Stegostoma tigrinum: one gene and its partner. The protein of the gene in region 1 purifies or fractionates together with the protein of each later gene. This does not show direct contact. Links are inferred from orthologs where the notes say so. Each region holds a gene or a part of one and is shown in the gene's direction. Other genes may lie near its edges.

Region 1 (8,585 bases):
TGATAATACCAGTAGGCCATCACTTCCCTGGCTTGTTCAAATGGCAGCATGTTATCCAGGTCCCTACACTGATGGATGAATTCCTACAAATGAACTATATGTTCTAATGACTATAATCACTCCTTATAAAGGGTTCCAAATATTTTTAGTCGTGGCAATGGAGACTTGAGTGTGAAATGCCTCCCATTTGTCTGCTGAAACTTGGTTGGTGAGTTGAATGAGAAATTTGTAGTTTCGAGTCCCACTCTTAAGTCTTAAATACAAAAATATGTGCTGACATGAAGGAAGTGTTACATTGACAGAAATGCTGCCTTTCAGCAAAGGAGTTAACCTCAGGATCCAGCTACCTCTCCAGTAGACTAAAAGATGGGTACTATTTCAAATGAGATATGCCTGGTTAGGGTATCCTTAGGTATGAAAAGTGCTGTATAATACAGACCAAATGATTTCTGTCTGAAGATTTTAGCTCCACTGAATTCATCAATTTTCAGTCAGTATGTAAGTTTGTGTACGTTTCTTACACACTCTGTGAAAAGCCCTTGGAATGGATGCATTTCGTATGTTAGAATTAGAGTTCTGCTTTAATGCGATACTTGAGTTCCAGCGTAACATCGTGTTATACAAAATCGCGCTTTTGAGATAAAGGGCCGATAGGAAAAGCAAGGTTAGGAGCAGAGCACCAAAAAATATCACTCAACACTCAAGCTCCGTGTGTTTGTGTGTGTCTCTTGCTCCCTGCATCTATGCCTATCTCTGGAATCTAATCCAGCCCCCGTACCTCCTGCATCTGCAATTTTCCGTAACTCCGAAACTGTAACATTCTTGATTACCTGTCAACCTTCGTAAGACCAAATCTATCCGTTCCTTCAATTCCCAGTATCCATGTAGCTTTCCGCAGCTGGTATAAACCTCCCAACCTATCTCTATAACCTCTATCCATCCCTTTAAACTCCACTATCACTAAAACACTCCCTGCATTTGCAACAAAGCAGATGAAAAGACAGCATTAACTGAAGTGAACTGATATGATCTAATTGTCATTACGGAAATGTGGCTGCAGTATGACCATGGCTGGGAAGTGAATATTCACAGTCCAGTGCCTGGTCCACCTGTTGGACGGACCTGTTCTACAGGAGCCACTGGCCTTTCTCAATCTTGCTCAAGTGACTGTTCTCCATACAGAACTCGACGGTGAATGTTGGTAAACTACCTGCTCCACAGCCAAGCAAACCCGAAATTTTCCTCACTGTTATACAGTAACAGGTTCCAGAAGAGGGAACTGATATTTCAAGAACTGGTATGTTGACTATTTTTATACAAATTCTTTAGGGTAGCTTTGACGGCAGCCATGAAATCTTGCACGCAAACCTCATCAACCTTTGAATGTTCCACATTTATTTCGTGTCGGAGCAAAAGGAGGGATTAGGATTTGTAGTTAAGTCAAAGATACGCAGCTGTTGAAAATAATTCAGCTTGGAAGTATGTAACTGAGGTTTTGGTGAGAAAGGCAGGTGTTAGACTATGGATATAAATAGATGCATAGTTAACAAAAAGGAAGTTGTGCTAAAACCTTATGAATCAATGGTTAGGTTTCACCTTGAGTATTGTGAATCAAAGAAAAACATTCAATAACATCAGGTCCAGTGGACTCAACGGAATCATGTTACAGCCAACACAAAGTTCGCACTGTGGAAATACCATTCACTGATTTGTCAATTGCATCATTCTCAATTCGTGTTGCTGGAATGCGCATTATAGCAGAATGCCCTGTAGGTTTACTGTCATTAGTACTCAAGTACAGGAGTACAGTGAAAAGTTTACAATGTTGCCCCACTTGGTGTCATTTCAGATACAAAATACCTAGGTACAAATCTTAGATACAAATAAAGAGATAAAGAAAAAATGTTGAAGTAGAACACAGATGTTGTGTAGGGGGACTGTTTTTTATTGATATTCTTACTTTTTGAGCAATATTGTCTCATCTACTGCTAATACAACATCTCATGATTGACAATACAAACAAAATCAAATTCAATAGTTCTCAAGGTGTTTCACAATAGACTCATCTTCTCACCCGCACTCTAATAAAAATTCCTGAATTTGGTGGCCTCTATTTGTATACTTTACTTTTCCTTCTTTAATACTCTTCCTCTCCCTTCTTGTTGCCTTCTGAATTCATCATCTGCAAGGCCTAATTTTAAACCTAAACATGTTGGTGTGTTTTGAAATTTATTTATGAATTAATGGGATGTGGGCAACATTGGCTAGCCTAGCATTTATTACACATGCCTAATTGGTGCTGAGAAGATGGTAGTGAGTTGCCTTCTTGAACTGCTACAATCCATGAGTTCCAGGATTTTGCCCTAGAGACAGTGAAGGAATGGCGATGTTGTTCCAAGTCAGGATGGTGTGTGGTTTGGAGGGGAACTTGCTGGTGGTGCTGTTCTCATGTACCTGATGTCCTTTTCCTTTAATGTTCTAGAGAGAACTGGTTTGTAAGGTGCTATCTAAGGAACCTTGGTGAGTTGTTGCAGTGCATCTTGTAGATGGTTTTTGACCCCTCTGCTAAGGGAAAAAGTTTCTCTCTATCTATTTAACCTTGTATACTTTAATCAGATTCCTTGTCAGCCAATTCTTCTTCTTTTCTATTTAGTTTTTCTTCATAGCTGATTAACTCCAGTCCAGGCAACATCATGGTAAATTTCTTCTGCATTGACTCTAATGCAATCACATTTTCCTATAGTGACAATAAGAGCTCCATACAGTGCTACAGCTTTGGCCGAACCAATTTTATAGACAGCTCAATCATCAATTCTTTGCTTGTGTATTCAATGTCTTGACTATTCAAGGTAGGTATTCCTTATGACCTTATCTTCATGACCTTATCTATCTGTCCTGATGCCTTCAAGGATCTATGGACATGCACACAAAGGTCTCTTTGAACCACTGCGCTCCCTAGAGTCCTACCATTCAAGGGGTACTCCCTTGCCTTGTTAATTCTCCCAAAATGCATGACCTCACACATTTCAGGATTAAATTGCATTTGCACTGTTCAGCCCACCAGGCCAGTCTGTCTATATAGCCCTATAGACTAAGGCTTTCCTTCTTGGTGTTAACTATGCCAACAATTTTTCAGAATAGAGGTAATAACATATGAAAAAATATCAGTTGATTCAGAAGAGTCAGTCTGGACGTACTAAGGGAAAATCTTGTCTAACTGATTTGCTCGACCTTTTGTATTGTTGTTGTGAGGACAAAGCTGTTATATGGTGCACATGGATTTCCAAAAGGCATTCAATACAGTGCCACACAAAAACCAGACTTATTAAGAAAGTTATCACGTATGGAATAAAAGGGACAGTAGCAATGTGGATACAAAATTGACTGAGATAGGAAACAGAGCTTAATAGATAATGGATACTTTTTGTGCTGCCAGGTTTGTAGTGAAGTCCCCCAGGGTTCACTTTTGGAATCCTTGCTTTTCCTAACATAGGAATAAATGATTGAGATCTTATGTGCTAGGTGCAATTTTCAACCTTGTGGATGACAGAAATCTCAGGAGAATTGGAAGTTTGAAGAGGACAACACAGAACTTCAAAGGAACATTGGCACTTTTGTTGAGTGGGTCGATAAAGTTCAGTGTGAAGTATGAGGAGATACATTTTGGTACAAACATGTGTAGAGACAGAATAAAAGAAACTACACTTTTCCAAAGGGTGTGTCAGAGAATAAGGTCTGGGTATTTATACATAAGTCATTTAAAGTGGCAAGACAAAGAGAGAACTGTCTCTTCTAGGTATGAAGACAGGTTGAGTGGATTAGGGTAATTTACATTAGAAAGACGGAGGTTGAGGAGGGGACCTGACTGAGGTCCACAAAATCATGAGAGGTATAGACAGGGTGGATAGCGAGAAGCTTTTTCCCCAGAGTGGGGGACTCAATTACTACGATTTCAAGGTGACTGGGGAAAAGTTTGAGGGAGATATGCGTGGAAAGTTCTTTACGCAGAGGGTGGTGGGTGCCTGGAACGCATTGCCAGCAGAGGTGGTAGAGGTGGGCATGATAGCATCATTTAAGATGTATCTAGACAGATACATGAATGGGCAGGGAGCAGAGGGACACAGATCCTTGGAAAATAGGCAACAGTTTAGAGAGAGGATCTGGATCAGTGCAGGCTTGGAGGGCCGAAGGGCCTGTTCCTGTGCTGTAATTTTCTTTGTTCTTTGTCAATAAAGCATATTCAGTATTCTACATTTCATTAATAGGAGCAGGGAGGTTACAATGAAATTATATAGCAGCTGGAGTATGTGTACAAGAAGGATGTTAATGCTTTTCAAGGTGGTCCAAAGAGCTTGTTCTGTTTTGTGTTCATTTTAGACAGTGCAGAAGAAATCTAAAAGATTTGCTAAATATTTTCAAAATCCTGATGAAATACCAGTAAAAATTACAAATGATGCATACTAGTCCAACCTGTCTGTAGTATCAATAGTGCTCTAATATGACCAGTACATTTCCAAGTTTTTTTTTCCCTTTTTCTCTCTGGGTGCATAGTAGTAACATTATTAGAGTGTAACCCTTTGTAATAATTAGAGTGGTGATGCTCTGAGAGCATGTTCCTTCTTACATTACATGGGCTTTGACACTGAGTTTCAATTACCTTTCATTTACCACTGTTCATCTCATTCATTTCATTTGGCTCATTTGTGGGCCAACTTTTCCGTAACTTTAAAAACATATTTTATTCATAGACATATCTTTATGTACATACAGTCGTTTCTGTACAGTAGCATATGGATAACTACACACACATTAGGAGTTTGACTCCATCCAACAAACAAACCTGAGACGTTTCTTACTTATATTTCTGAGCCAATTTCCTCTTGTACGACGACTCCCTGAATTTGGCATCGTCGTTTTGGAAAGGGACGTGTGATTATAAATGTGACCTACTCCGTCTCTTACGTCCTTACCACGAATTTGCATTGAGTGTTTTTAAAGAAGAAAACAGCAACTCTTTCCCCTCCAGTTGAGCAGGGCGGCGTCACGACGGTTATGTGCAAGGGGCGTTTCCATGGTATCGCCGGGTCATGTGACCTCGGTGTCAGCTGACCTCCTCCCCCGGCAGATTTCCGGTGTCGCTCGAGTTGGGACCGGCTGGCAGGCGGCGGGGACTTTTCGACATTACCCAGATTAAACTAACTGTTCACACCACTTTGGCAGCTGGTGCCCGGGACACGGGGCGAGCATGGCGACCAACAGCACGTCCTACAATGATCAGGCTCTGGGAAGTGAATCGACCGAGTTGGGCCAAGAAGCCTCGGCAGTGACTTCAGGAGGAGGGGCAGCAGCTGGGTTCCGGCTCTTCAGCGTAGACTACAAGAAGTAGGTTAAAGAGCGCCTGAATGCCGGATTTTACACACTCCTTCTGCTCCGTTCTCTGATACAGGAACTCTTTCGTGCTACTAGTCCTTGTTGTGAAATATAGTTTTCGTGAAAGGCCTTTGGCAAACTTGTTTTTTCGTGCTGATCCATGTCCCAAGGCGACTAAACACTTTACTGTGAGCAAGTACTTAGTCCATTACATCGGTGCTTTTTTTCCCCAGCTTTCGTTTTAGATTGAAGTGCTGTAAATTATTGAGTATGGCCACTTTACAAACGTCACGTGATGAGAGACTTAGTTGTGACAGCTTTGAAAAGGGCTATTTGGCCTGTCATGTTTGCATCATTTTCTGAATGAGCAATTTACTTAAAACTATTTATTGCTATCTCACTAAGACTGTGTAGTGTCCCCTTTCAAATGATAATCTACTTCACTTTTAGATGTTACAATTAAACTATACCTTAAGACTATTTGTTCCAGGTTGTTGATGTGTTCCAAAACTCTCTTTCATCCACTCACCATTGCTTCTTTTGCCATTTAGTTTCAATCTGTGCAGTGTTGTTCTCTGTCAAAAATTGCAGCCCCAGGCGATAGTCCAACAGCTTTATTCGAAGACAACTTCTGGGAGTTCCGCTCTGGCTTCAGATGAGACTCTGAAAGCTTCTGTCTGCAAATAAGCCTGTTGGATTAAACTTGGTGTAATATGATTTTTGACCTTGTCCACTCCAACAGCAGCATCTTGTTCTTGAGCCTTCTAACAGTGGGGTTTTAGTTCAGTATTCTACCGTGTCGAGAGGCCTGTGAGATGTTGGATATCTCCATTGAATCTTGTTTAAACTTCTACAAAATAAGTAGCCCAAACTTCTCCAGTTTACCCATGTAATTGAAGTTCCTTATCCCTGGAACCACACTCATTGTTTTGTGTGTTTTTTCCAGTTACTTCCTATCCTTTTAGACTAGACCAGACCAGACCAGACTAGACTAACCACCAAGTGTGCGCACACCCCATCATTATGACAGCCTAGGTCAGGTGTGGTGTTCCAGATACAATTTGATTTGTCAACTACCAGTCTTGAAGCAAAAAATACCACTATTTGCACATTTAGTTAAAACACAATAAAAATTCAAATAACCTAACTGCTGGAATACTTAACAATAACAGACTAACTGCTAAACATTAACTCTTAAACACAGAGATAGCAGGAACTGCGGATGCTGGAGAATCTGAGATAACAAGGCGTAGAGCTGGATGAACAAAGCAAGCTAAGCAGCATCAGAGCACAATTTCTGCAGAAGGGTTTAGGCCCGAAACATCAGCCGGCCTGCTGTGTTCATCCAGCTCTACACCTAGTTAACTCTTAAATACACCCTTGGCAAAGGCAAATTCAATAAAATAGTGTCTCACATGCAATTCTAGCAGCAGGAAGAGAATCCCCAGCTTTTAGCTGTAACAGAGAGAGAAAAAACAGCTTCCACATCCAGCTTCAAGACCCCAGCAACTGCCACTGAAAAACTAAAACTAAAAATCTTAGTTCTGTGGGAGCTTGACATGACTCATTCAGGCTACTGCTTTTCCAAATTTAGGAAAAAAAGTCCAAAGCCACTTTGGGGTTTATGGGCTTTGAAGCAGATTGCTCATACTTCTGTCTCAACCTTTCTTCAAAACGAAGCACTAAATACACCTGTTAAAGCCATTGTAGTGTTAGTGTTGAAATGTCTTCAGCAGTGCTGTCAAACAGCACTTGCTCAGCGATAACCTGGTCATTGACACCCAGTTTGGCTCTGTTAGGGCTCTCAGCTCCTGACCCTATTACAGTTTTGGTTTAATATGGACAGAAGTGCTGAATTCCAGAGGGGAGAGTGAAAGTCCTTGACATAATGGCCACATTTGACTCCAAATGGGACCAAGTTGCCTTAGGGAAACTGTAATCAATGGGAATGGGGGGCAAACTCCGTGCTAGTTGGAGTCATAGGAAAGTGGTTGTTATTGTTGGAAGCCAGTCATCTCAGCTGTAGGGCACCTCTGCTGGAGTTGTTCAGGGTAGTGATCAAAACTTGTGTCAGAGAAATGCCAGGTAGTGACCATCTTCAGTTGAAGACAATCTATTGCCCCCTTGACATTTAACGGTGTTTCCATCACTGAATGTCCCACTTCGAACATCCTGGGGGTTGGCATTGACAAAGACTGGGCTTTGCACAGAAGCGCAGTGACTGCAACAGCAGTTCATAAGCTAGGAGTACTGCAGCGAGTAACTCTCCATCTGACTGCCTGAAGTCTGCCCACCACCTACTTGACATGTCAGGAATGTGACGGAATACTGCCCACTTGAGCAGCTCCAACAATGCTCAAGAAGCTTGACTCCGTCCAGGAACAAAGTGGCCCACTTGACTTACACCACAACCCCTCCTCCAATGCTCAGTAGGACCAGTTTGGTGAATTTTTGAACTGCAGCTTGTGGATATTACAAGGATTCTTGAAAACACTTTCCAAACTCATGACCATTTCCATCTGGAAGGCCAAGGGCAGCAGATACATGGGAACACTGTCACTTGCAAGTTCACCTCTAAGCCAGCCACCATCCTGACTTGGAAATATATTGCCATCCCTTTACTCTCACCGGGTCAAAATCATGGAATTCCCTGCCTTAAGGGCATTGTGGGTCAACCTACAGTATATGGACTGCAGTGATTCAAGAATGCAGTCAACACCATTTTCTCCAAAGACATTTAAGGCAGGTAACAAATGCTGGCCCAGCCAGCAATGCCCATGTCCCACGAGTGAATTGAAAAAAAATAGTATGGGGTGACGTGTGATGCTCAGGTTGAGGATATACAAGTTTAACATCTGTGGAGAGAAGGCAGCATTAACGTTTAAAGTCCGTAACTCTGCTTTCTTTCCACAGATGCTGCCAAACTTGCTGAGATTTTCCAACACACACCTCAGATCACCACACAAGCCAGCTTTCCATCCATTGACTCCATCTTCCCTTCTTTGCTTTGAAAAGACCCTCCCACCCCAGTTATAACCTCTTCCAACTTCTTCCTTCAGGCAGAAAACACAAAAGCTTAAATGCACTTAGACACTAGGTTCAAGAAAAGCTTCTTCACTGCTGTTACTCGTCTTCTGAATGGACTGCTCAAATTTCAGATCTGATGTTGATTTTGCTTTTTGTGCACCATCTTTACAATCGTGATTTTGTATCCT
Region 2 (9,174 bases), about 31 Mb from region 1:
TGATTCTTGGCCTTGTGCACAATTAGGTTCCCACCACCACCACCTCCCAACTGATGTTGCTTTTTGCTCCTGACAGTTGCACAAGATTCCATCAATTTCTAACTGAAAAGGAATTATGACATTCTTTGAAATCTTTTTTGGGGTAAATTCTAACATTTCACTGCATTTAGTTGTGAAGAGTTACTGCATCAAACATTAATTTTTATACTTCATTAGTTGGATTCACATTTTGGACTTCCTTTTTAAAAGAAAGGAATTTCACTGAAACAAACGGACTCTGAACGGATTCAAATAGCCTGTAATTTGCATTACTATAAGCTACATTTCATTCCACAGAGTCACAAGCTCTAGGAAGTTCACCAGAAACAATACACTCCTGCACAGGTATTAACAGTTTGTGTCAAAATGGAGACAAAAAGTATACAAGAGGACAATCAGCGAATACGATGTGCAGATGTGAACTAAAGCTGTCGTTTGAAATATAGCATGGATTCGTAAATCTTTAATGGCAGTTAGAGAGGAATCATGTAACCAAATAAGCTTTGTGCATGAATTTGGACTTGGTCTGAAATAGAATGCAATGGCAGAAGGGACAAAAAGCTGCTCTATCTCCTTCCCCCTTCAATATAACAACTAACCTTAGAGTTTGCTGCAACTTGATCTCAGTCTATATCTCTGCCAGCACACAGAGAATTCCTCAGGAAAAACGTCTAAATGTCTACTGCAGCATCTGCTGAAGAACAAAGAATACCCACCCATATTTTGAAACATCAACTCAGTGGCTTATGAATATCAGAGGGACCAGGATACCAGCTATAAGCTATGACATGCTTTTATTTCATATTTAGTCAAATTTGCCTACTTTACACTTCATCTGTGCTGCTCCTTTGCCATGACTCCTTCATCTATAATTGAGTGCATGGATTTTGAGAGTTGCATTGCATTTTGGAAATGTGTTAACCCTTTAATGATTTTACCATGGGTCATTTCCAGTACAATAACTTGACTCAATATTTGTCAAAAACCCAAAGGAACCTGTCTGACTAATCCTTACCACTGGCACATACAGTTAATTACAAACATTAGTTCAGCAGTTTAAAATAGCAGTTTTTAAAAACACCTTTACAGTCAAGCAAGGCGATACAAACAAGAGAGCCATTCAATTCCTCCTTACCTGGTTGTTACCATTTTAGTAATGAATTTATAACAAGACCACTAAAGAGGGCCATGTGGCTGCATATGACTGTTATATCATTGCCACATGATACATTATATTATTATTTGTTTCATAAATTAATTTCAAATTAAATTGAATTTCAAAACATTTTGTTATACTACATTTGCAAGTGAAGTAGGTTCAGATACAGGCACAGGTAGACAAACAGGAGGCTGGAAGAACACAGCAAGCCAGGCAGCATCTGGAGGAAAGGAGGAGTCAAAACTTTAAGTAATTACCCTTCTGCTGTCCTGGCTTGCTGTGTTCTTCCAGCCTCCTATTTGTCTGCCTTGGATTCCAGCATCTGCAGTTTGTTTTTTGTCTCAGAAAGAGGCACAAGCTGATTAGCCTCCACAGTTATCAAACAGGGCTGTCTATTTGTGATAATGGGAACTGCAGATGCTGGAGAATCCAAGATAATAAAATGTGAGGCTGGATGAACACAGCAGGCCCAGCAGCATCTGTGCTCCTGAGATGCTGCTGGGCCTGCTATGTTCACCCAGCCTCACATTTTATTATCAGGGCTGTCTATTTGTTTACTTGGGCTCACAGCTATTTACTGAAGTAAGCCTCAAGGCCAGGATGGACATTATTAAAGATTTGAAGATTTAAAACATGAGCTTTGTTTGCTATAAGAACCAAGATAAACTAGAGTAATAAGTTAGATAAGATCCCGCAAAAAATATGAGAAGTTTCCTGCCTGTCTTAGAAAATTGATAAATATTCAGCAGAGCAGTATGCATATAATTTTGCATTAGTACCACAATATGGCTGTAGCTAAAATGGTAACACAGCCAATCCTTAACTCAAAGTTGTCTCTACTTGAATTGTATTGAAAATTAACTAAGCGTTGTAGAAAATCTTAACTACTACATCATTCAAGGATTGACGGTTGTGGGGAATACATTATCGAAGGAGGCTGCTGAATCTGATTGCATCAGCAAATCCAAGCTAAATATTCTTAAATGATTGAAAAAAATTTGATGTACATGTTTTAGAGCTCTCAGCGGATGTGATATTTCCAAGGTATTGGATCTACTCTTCTGAGCTTTTCCAGCAATTTCTGTTTTTGTTTCTGATTATACTTCAACAGATGCATTTAGCTGAAAGGAAATCTGATCAGCTTGCAGAAACTAACTACAAAATGTTTGTCTGTATGTCAGTGTTCACATAACTAAGGACAACTTGTCATCTTAATTTTGTACTTTTGCTCCCTAACAATGTTGAAGTCAGTGAAGTATTTTAGGACGGGGTTGTATGAACAAATTGGCACAAATAAAATATGGAACCCAAAGAAATAGCGAGAAAAGAGATAGGTTTGAGGCTAGTATAGTAGATAAGGAAAGTTAAAGAGTCAAGGCAGGCAAGAGCACAGCAGAGAATGAAGTAAGGCTCATAAATTAAACTGCATTTATTTCAAAGCAAGAGGCCTGACAGGTAAGGCAGATACATTTAGGGCATGATTGGGAATGTGGGACTGGGAAATTATATCTATTTGAAAATCGTGGCCCAGGGAGAGGCAAGATTGGCAGTTTAATGTTCTGGACTACAGAAATTATAGGGAAGATAGAAAGTGGGGGCAAAGCAGGAGGGTGAGTGGAGTTCTTGGTTGTGGATAACATTAGGTTGTACTTAGGCAAGGCATTCTTGGAAGAACGTCCAGTGAAGTTACATGGGTGGAACTGAGAAAGAGATGATCAACTTATTGGGATTGTACTATAGGGCCCCCAATAATCAGTTTGAAATTGAGAAGCAAATATGTCAGGACATCTCAGATATACAAGAAGAATAGGTTGTAATGGTAGGGAATTTTAACTTTCCAAACATAGACTAGCACTGCCATAGTGTTAAGAGCTTGGTTGAAAAGAAATTTGTTAAGCGTGTATAAGAAAACGTTCTTATTCAGTACGTGGGTGTACCAGCTAGGGGAGCAAAACTGACCTTCTCTTAGGAAATAAGGTAGGGCAAGTGACTGAGGTGCCAGTGGGGAAGCACTTTAGAGCAAGTGATCATAATTCTACTAGTTTTAAAATAATTATGGAAAAGGATAAACCTGATCTAAAAGTCGAAGTTCTAAATTGGAGTAAGGCAAAATGTAACAGTATTGGGAAGGATCTTTTGGAAGTTGATTAGGGGAGATAGGTTCACATCTAAAGATACAGTTGGAAAATGGGAGACCTTCAAAAACAAATTAATACGAATTCAGAGACAGTGTGTTTCTATTAGTGCAAAAGGCAAGGCTGGTAGGTATAGGGAATTCTGCATGTCTAGAAAACTTGAGGTTCTGTCAAGAAGAGGGAGGTACATGTTAGGTAGACAGTTGGGGTATAGTATGGGGCAGTAAGAGTGTACTTAAGAGGGATTTCACAAAGGCAAAAAGGAGACGAGAGAGCTTTGGCAAATAGTGTTAACGAGAATCGAAAGAGATTTTACAAATGCATTGAGGGCAAAAGACTGGGGAGCTAATAGGGACACTTAAAGATCAACAAGGCCATATACGTGTGGAACGACAGGAGATGGATAGGATACTAAATGAATATTTCACATCAGTATTTACTGCTGAGAAGGACATGGAAGCTAGAGAACTTGGGAAATAAATAGTGATGTTTTGAAAAGTGTTCATAGGAGGTGCTGGAGGTCTTAAAATGCTAGGTACAGATAAACCCCAAGTCCTGATCAGCTGTATCCCAGAACTTTGAGGGAAGCTGGGTGCTTGATGAAATATTTGTATCATCAATAGTCACAAGTGAGGTGCCAGATGACTGATGGGCGGCTAATGTGGTTTATTTAAGAAAGGTAGTAAGGAGACACCAGGAAACTATGGATTGGTGAGCCTAGTGCCAGTGGTAAGTTCTTAGACGGGATTCTGAGAGACAGGATTTATATGTATATGGAAAGGTAAGGGCTGATTAGGGATAGTCAACATGGCTTTGTCTGTGAAAAACTGTATCTCACTACCTTGATTGAGTTTGTTGAATAGGCGAAAAAGAAGATTTACAAAGGCAAAGCAGTACACCTTGTCCACATGGACTTTAGCAAGGCATTTGACAAAGTTCCACATGGTAGACTGCTTAGCAAGGTTAGATCACGTGGGATTCGGTGGAGCTAGCCAACTGGATACAAATTGACTTGAAGGTAGGAGAGACTGGTGGTAGAAGGTTTTTTTAAAAAACTGGAGACCTGTGACCAGCAGTGTGCAATAGTATCCATTGCTTTTTGGTATTTATATAAATGACTTGGATGTGAAATATGAAAGGTATGGTTGGTAAAGTTGCAGATGACACTAAAATTGTTGGCAAAGTGGACAGTAAAGAAGGTTAGAGATAACACGGCGTAGAGCTGGATGAACACAGCAGGCCAAGCAGCAAAGCTTGACATTTCAGTCGGGACCCTTCTTCAGTAAAATAGGTTATCTCAGTGTAAATTGGGACCTTGATTAGATGGGCCAAGGAGTGGCAGGAGTTTAATTTAGATAAATGAGAAGTGTTGCACTTTGGTAAGGAAAACCAGGACAGGACTTACACAGTTAATGGTAGGACCAGAGGAAGCTGAACAATGAGGCTTTGGGGTCCAAATGCATATTTCCTTGAAAGTGGAGTTGCAGGTCGACAGGATGGTGAGGAAGGTGTTGACACACTAGCTTTTATTCATCAGAGCACTGAGTACAGGAGTTGGGAATTCATGATACGGACAAACAGGAAATTGGTAAGGTCACTTTTAGAATACCATGTGAAGGATATCTAACTGGCGAGTATGAGTTGGACTGCAAGGTCTGTTTCGGTGCTGTATAACACTATGACTCTACGAGGAAAAAAGTCAATCCGTTTGGACATATTCCAAATGTCAACCTTCGCCTTCCGTCCCACCCGCACCTTTATGCACCTGTCATTGTGCCAAAGGAAGTCATTCAACATGGAATCCTGATCTTGACTCTTGAAAATCTCTGATCTTCCGACGGAAGATAGGAATAAAATCGTTCAATAAAGACCGTTAAAAGTATGTATTCGTTTTACTCAATGTGATAGAAAATACCTACAGAAGACTGTGAAATCATTAAGTACCCTAATAAACGAGCAGTCTAGCACCCACCACTGCCAAAAAAATCGCGTGAAAAGCTTTAATACATTTTTTGTTAACTTAAGCCCATTTTAAAACGTCTTGAATTTACGACGTTTTTTTAAAAAAGAAAATCCCACTCAGAAACTAAATCGGGTGTTCCTAAAGTTATCTCTAAGGCCGTTTGATAGGCGTTTCGAAATAGCGCAATGACTTTCCTGAACGGTGGTGGTTGCCGTCACGGTGTAAAGGGCTGGCAGCTGGGAGGAAGTTTCCTGTGACGGACGCTTCACTTCGGGTTCGGTTCCGCCCACCTCGGTTTTTACGTTCATGTTTCGGAGAAATTTCGTTTCAATTCTCAACTGCCAGTCGGTGCTCCGGGAAGAGGGCTGTCCGGTCGTCATGATTAAAGCCATCCTGATATTTAACAACCATGGCAAGCCGCGGCTCTCCAAGTTTTATGAGCGCTATGTGAGTATGAGGGAGAGAGGGCCGGGATCGAAGCGCCCGTTAAACTGTCAACTTCCGCGTGCGGTCTGTACATCTAAACCGGGCACGCGCTCCAGGCCACATTCCAAAGTAGGGCTTGCGCTCGGAGCAACCTGGCGTCATCACAGAGACGGAGTCTTGCTCTCAAAGTGAGCTTCTACATTGGGCTGTCACAGCCGCATAGTAGAACCGCTCCACTTCGCCCACCGGCACTCGAGCACCGTATTTTGAATTCGAAGATTTGCCCGTCGGCAACTGTAAAGTTGGTGTACAGATTACACCAGGCTTTATTTCAATGAGCTGTACTGAATATTCCAAAGCAGAGATAGGTGGTGTTTCTTTCGAAACGCTGTTCTTCAGGTTGTCCTCCCCGATCTATGTGGTTGCGAAATTGCAGCATACAGCCATCGGCTGCACGAAGCGTTGTTTTAACACACGAGGTCAGACAAAACAAACATTTAAAGTTCAGCGAAGAAGAAAAATACTAAACTAAAGCAACATTTGTTATTTACGCATTGGGACGAAGTACCTTTTGAGTTTATCGAAAGCAAAAGTTTTCGAACTACATGTTGGAAAGGCAGGAGCGGTTGAAATCCAGTAGCGGCTACCCTGTGAGTTCATCCTGTGATAAATGCTTTCTAATTAGGGGGGCGTCTGAGGGAAAGGGCTGTGATATATTGGCACATCAGTAGTTAAGGTTGAGATGTGAGATCATCGGAGACTTGGAAGGCGATAGGCATTATGTGTCTAACTGTACAGCGTTCTAGTATTCCTACAAAAATAAAGTTTTATCAGACCCTAATTACTATTGCAAATACAGAGTGCATTTATATAGTGGCAAAGTGCGTTACAGCCAATGAGGTATGGACTGTAACAAGCAAAAAGTACTGGAGGAAACTCTGCAGGTCTGACAGTATCTGTAAAGAAAATCAGAGTTAACTTTCCAGTCCAGTGACCATCGTCAGAACTGATACGATCTCTTGCGCTGAAGAACACCTGGCAGCCACTTTGTATACAACAAGGTCTCTCAAATAGTCATGCAATAATTCAAAAACTGTGTGTTTGAATCTGTTGGTATTGGCAAGGATGCTAGAGATCACTCCCTTGCTGCTGCTCAAAAGAAATGTCATGGTTTTTTTTCATATACCGGCTTAGAAAGCAGATCACTGTGAATTGAACATCACCTCTTGATGGGTGTGGTGTGTTAACTTAGTTTTATTCTCCAGTCTTTGGCAAGAGTTTAATTAGGGGTAGGAATCAGCCATTTAGCCCCTTGCATCCACTTTGCCATGTTCTAACATGGCAGATAATCTATCTCAACATCTTTTTCACACATCATCCAGGTATCTGTTGATGTCATTAGTATTGAAAACTCAATCAATCTCTGTCTTGACTACAGAGATAATGGGAACTGCAGATGCTGGAGATTCCAAGATAATAAAATGTGAGGCTGGATGAACACAGCTGGCCAAGCAGCATCTCAGGAGCACAAAAGCTGACGTTTCGGGCCTAGACCCTTCATCAGAGAGGGGGATGGGGGGAGGGAACTGGAATAAATAGGGAGAGAGGGGGAGGCGGACCGAAGATGGAGAGTAAAGAAGATAGGTGGAGAAGGTGTGGGTGGGGAGGTAGGGAGGGGATAGGTCAGTCCAGGGAAGACGGACAGGTCAAGGAGGTGGGATGAGGTTAGTAGGTAGCTGGGGGTGCGGCTTGGGGTGGGAGGAAGGGATGGGTGAGAGGAAGAACCGGTTAGGGAGGCAGAGACAGGTTGGACTGGTTTTGGGATGCAGTGGGTGGGGGGGAAGAGCTGGGCTGGTTGTGTGGTGCAGTGGGGGGAGGGGATGAACTGGGCTGGTTTAGGGATGCAGTGGGGGAAGGGGAGATTTTGAAACTGGTGAAGTCCACATTGATACCATATGGCTGCAGGGTTCCCAGGCGGAATATGAGTTGCTGTTCCTGCAACCTTCGGGTGGCATCATTGTGGCAGTGCAGGAGGCCCATGATGGACATGTCATCAAGAGAATGGGAGGGGGAGTGGAAATGGTTTGCGACTGGGAGGTGCAGTTGTTTGTTGCGAACTGAGCGGAGGTGTTCTGCAAAGCGGTCCCCAAGCCTCCGCTTGGTTTCCCCAATGTAGAGAAAGCCGCACCGGGTACAGTGGATGCAGTATACCACATTGGCAGATTGGCAGATGCCCCACTGCATCCCTAAACCAGCCCAGTTCATCCCCTCCCCCCACTGCACCACACAACCAGCCCAGCTCTTCCCCCCCACCCACTGCATCCCAAAACCAGTCCAACCTGTCTCTGCCTCCCTAACCGGTTCTTCCTCTCACCCATCCCTTCCTCCCACCCCAAGCCGCACCCCCAGCTACCTACTAACCTCATCCCACCTCCTTGACCTGTCCGTCTTCCCTGGACTGACCTATCCCCTCCCTACCTCCCCACCCACACCTTCTCCACCTATCTTCTTTACTCTCCATCTTCGGTCCGCCTCCCCCTCTCTCCCTATTTATTCCAGTTCCCTCCCCCCATCCCCCTCTCTGATGAAGGGTCTAGGCCCGAAACGTCAGCTTTTGTGCTCCTGAGATGCTGCTTGGCCAGCTGTGTTCATCCAGCCTCACATTTTATTATCTGTCTTGACTACATACAGTTAGAGTTTCCAAAGCCCACTAGGGCAGAGAACACTAAAGATTCCTCCCTCTCCTGAGCCGAGGAATTCTTCCTCATCTCAATGCTTGCCCCTTATCTTTTAGAATCTGTGGCTTGGTTTAGACCCTGCAGCCAGAAGAGATATTTGTTCTGTATCTATCTTGTTTGTCTCTTTTAAGAATCTTGCAAGATTCAGTTAGATTTCGTCACATTCTTTGAAACTGTTAAAGAATACAAGCTTAGTCTCTTAGAGCCATAGAGCTGTACAGCATGGAAACAGATTCTTCAGTTCAACTCATCCGTGCTGATCAGATATCCTAAATGAGTCTAGTCGCATTTGCCAGCACTTGGCCCTTATCCCTCTAAACCATTCCTGTTCACATACCCATCCAGATGGAGGCTAGTATAATTGCAACAACACTTTGTCTGGCAGCTCATTCCATACACGCACTGCCCTCCATGAAAAAATTGCTCCTTAAGTCCCTTTTAAATCTTTCTCCTCTCACTTTAAAACTATGCCCTCTAGATTTGGACTTTGCTACCCTGAGAAAAAGACTTCGGCAACTGTATCTACGCCCCTCATAATTTTACAAATTTTTCAATTCACCTCTGAGCCTCTGACACGCCAGGGGAAATAGCCCCAGTTCAAACCCTCCAGCCCCAACAACATCTTTGTAAATCTTTTGTGAGCCCTTTCAAGTTTCACAGTACCCTTCTTGTAGCGGGGGACCAGAAGTGAATGCAATATTCCAAAAGTGGCCT

The links.
Region 2: the proteins of ap3b1a (region 1) and AP-3 complex subunit sigma-1 fractionate together in Homo sapiens (co-fractionation; 5 studies listed by BioGRID and IntAct, counting the BioPlex papers as one, with this or other methods). This does not show direct contact. The link is inferred for Stegostoma tigrinum from reciprocal best matches to the Homo sapiens genes AP3B1 and AP3S1.

The regions. Positions count from the first base shown.
Region 1 is NC_081356.1:107,905,148-107,913,732, reverse strand, and holds the start of ap3b1a (AP-3 complex subunit beta-1), read left to right. Parts: upstream 1-5,095; 5' UTR 5,096-5,245; coding exon 5,246-5,382; intron 5,383-8,585. UniProt on the Homo sapiens protein: Subunit of non-clathrin- and clathrin-associated adaptor protein complex 3 (AP-3) that plays a role in protein sorting in the late-Golgi/trans-Golgi network (TGN) and/or endosomes.
Region 2 is NC_081356.1:77,147,282-77,156,455, reverse strand, and holds the start of AP-3 complex subunit sigma-1, read left to right. Parts: upstream 1-5,517; 5' UTR 5,518-5,602; coding exon 5,603-5,743; intron 5,744-5,875; exon of another isoform or gene 5,876-6,327; coding exon of another isoform or gene 6,328-6,372; intron 6,373-9,174. UniProt on the Homo sapiens protein: Part of the AP-3 complex, an adaptor-related complex which is not clathrin-associated. The complex is associated with the Golgi region as well as more peripheral structures.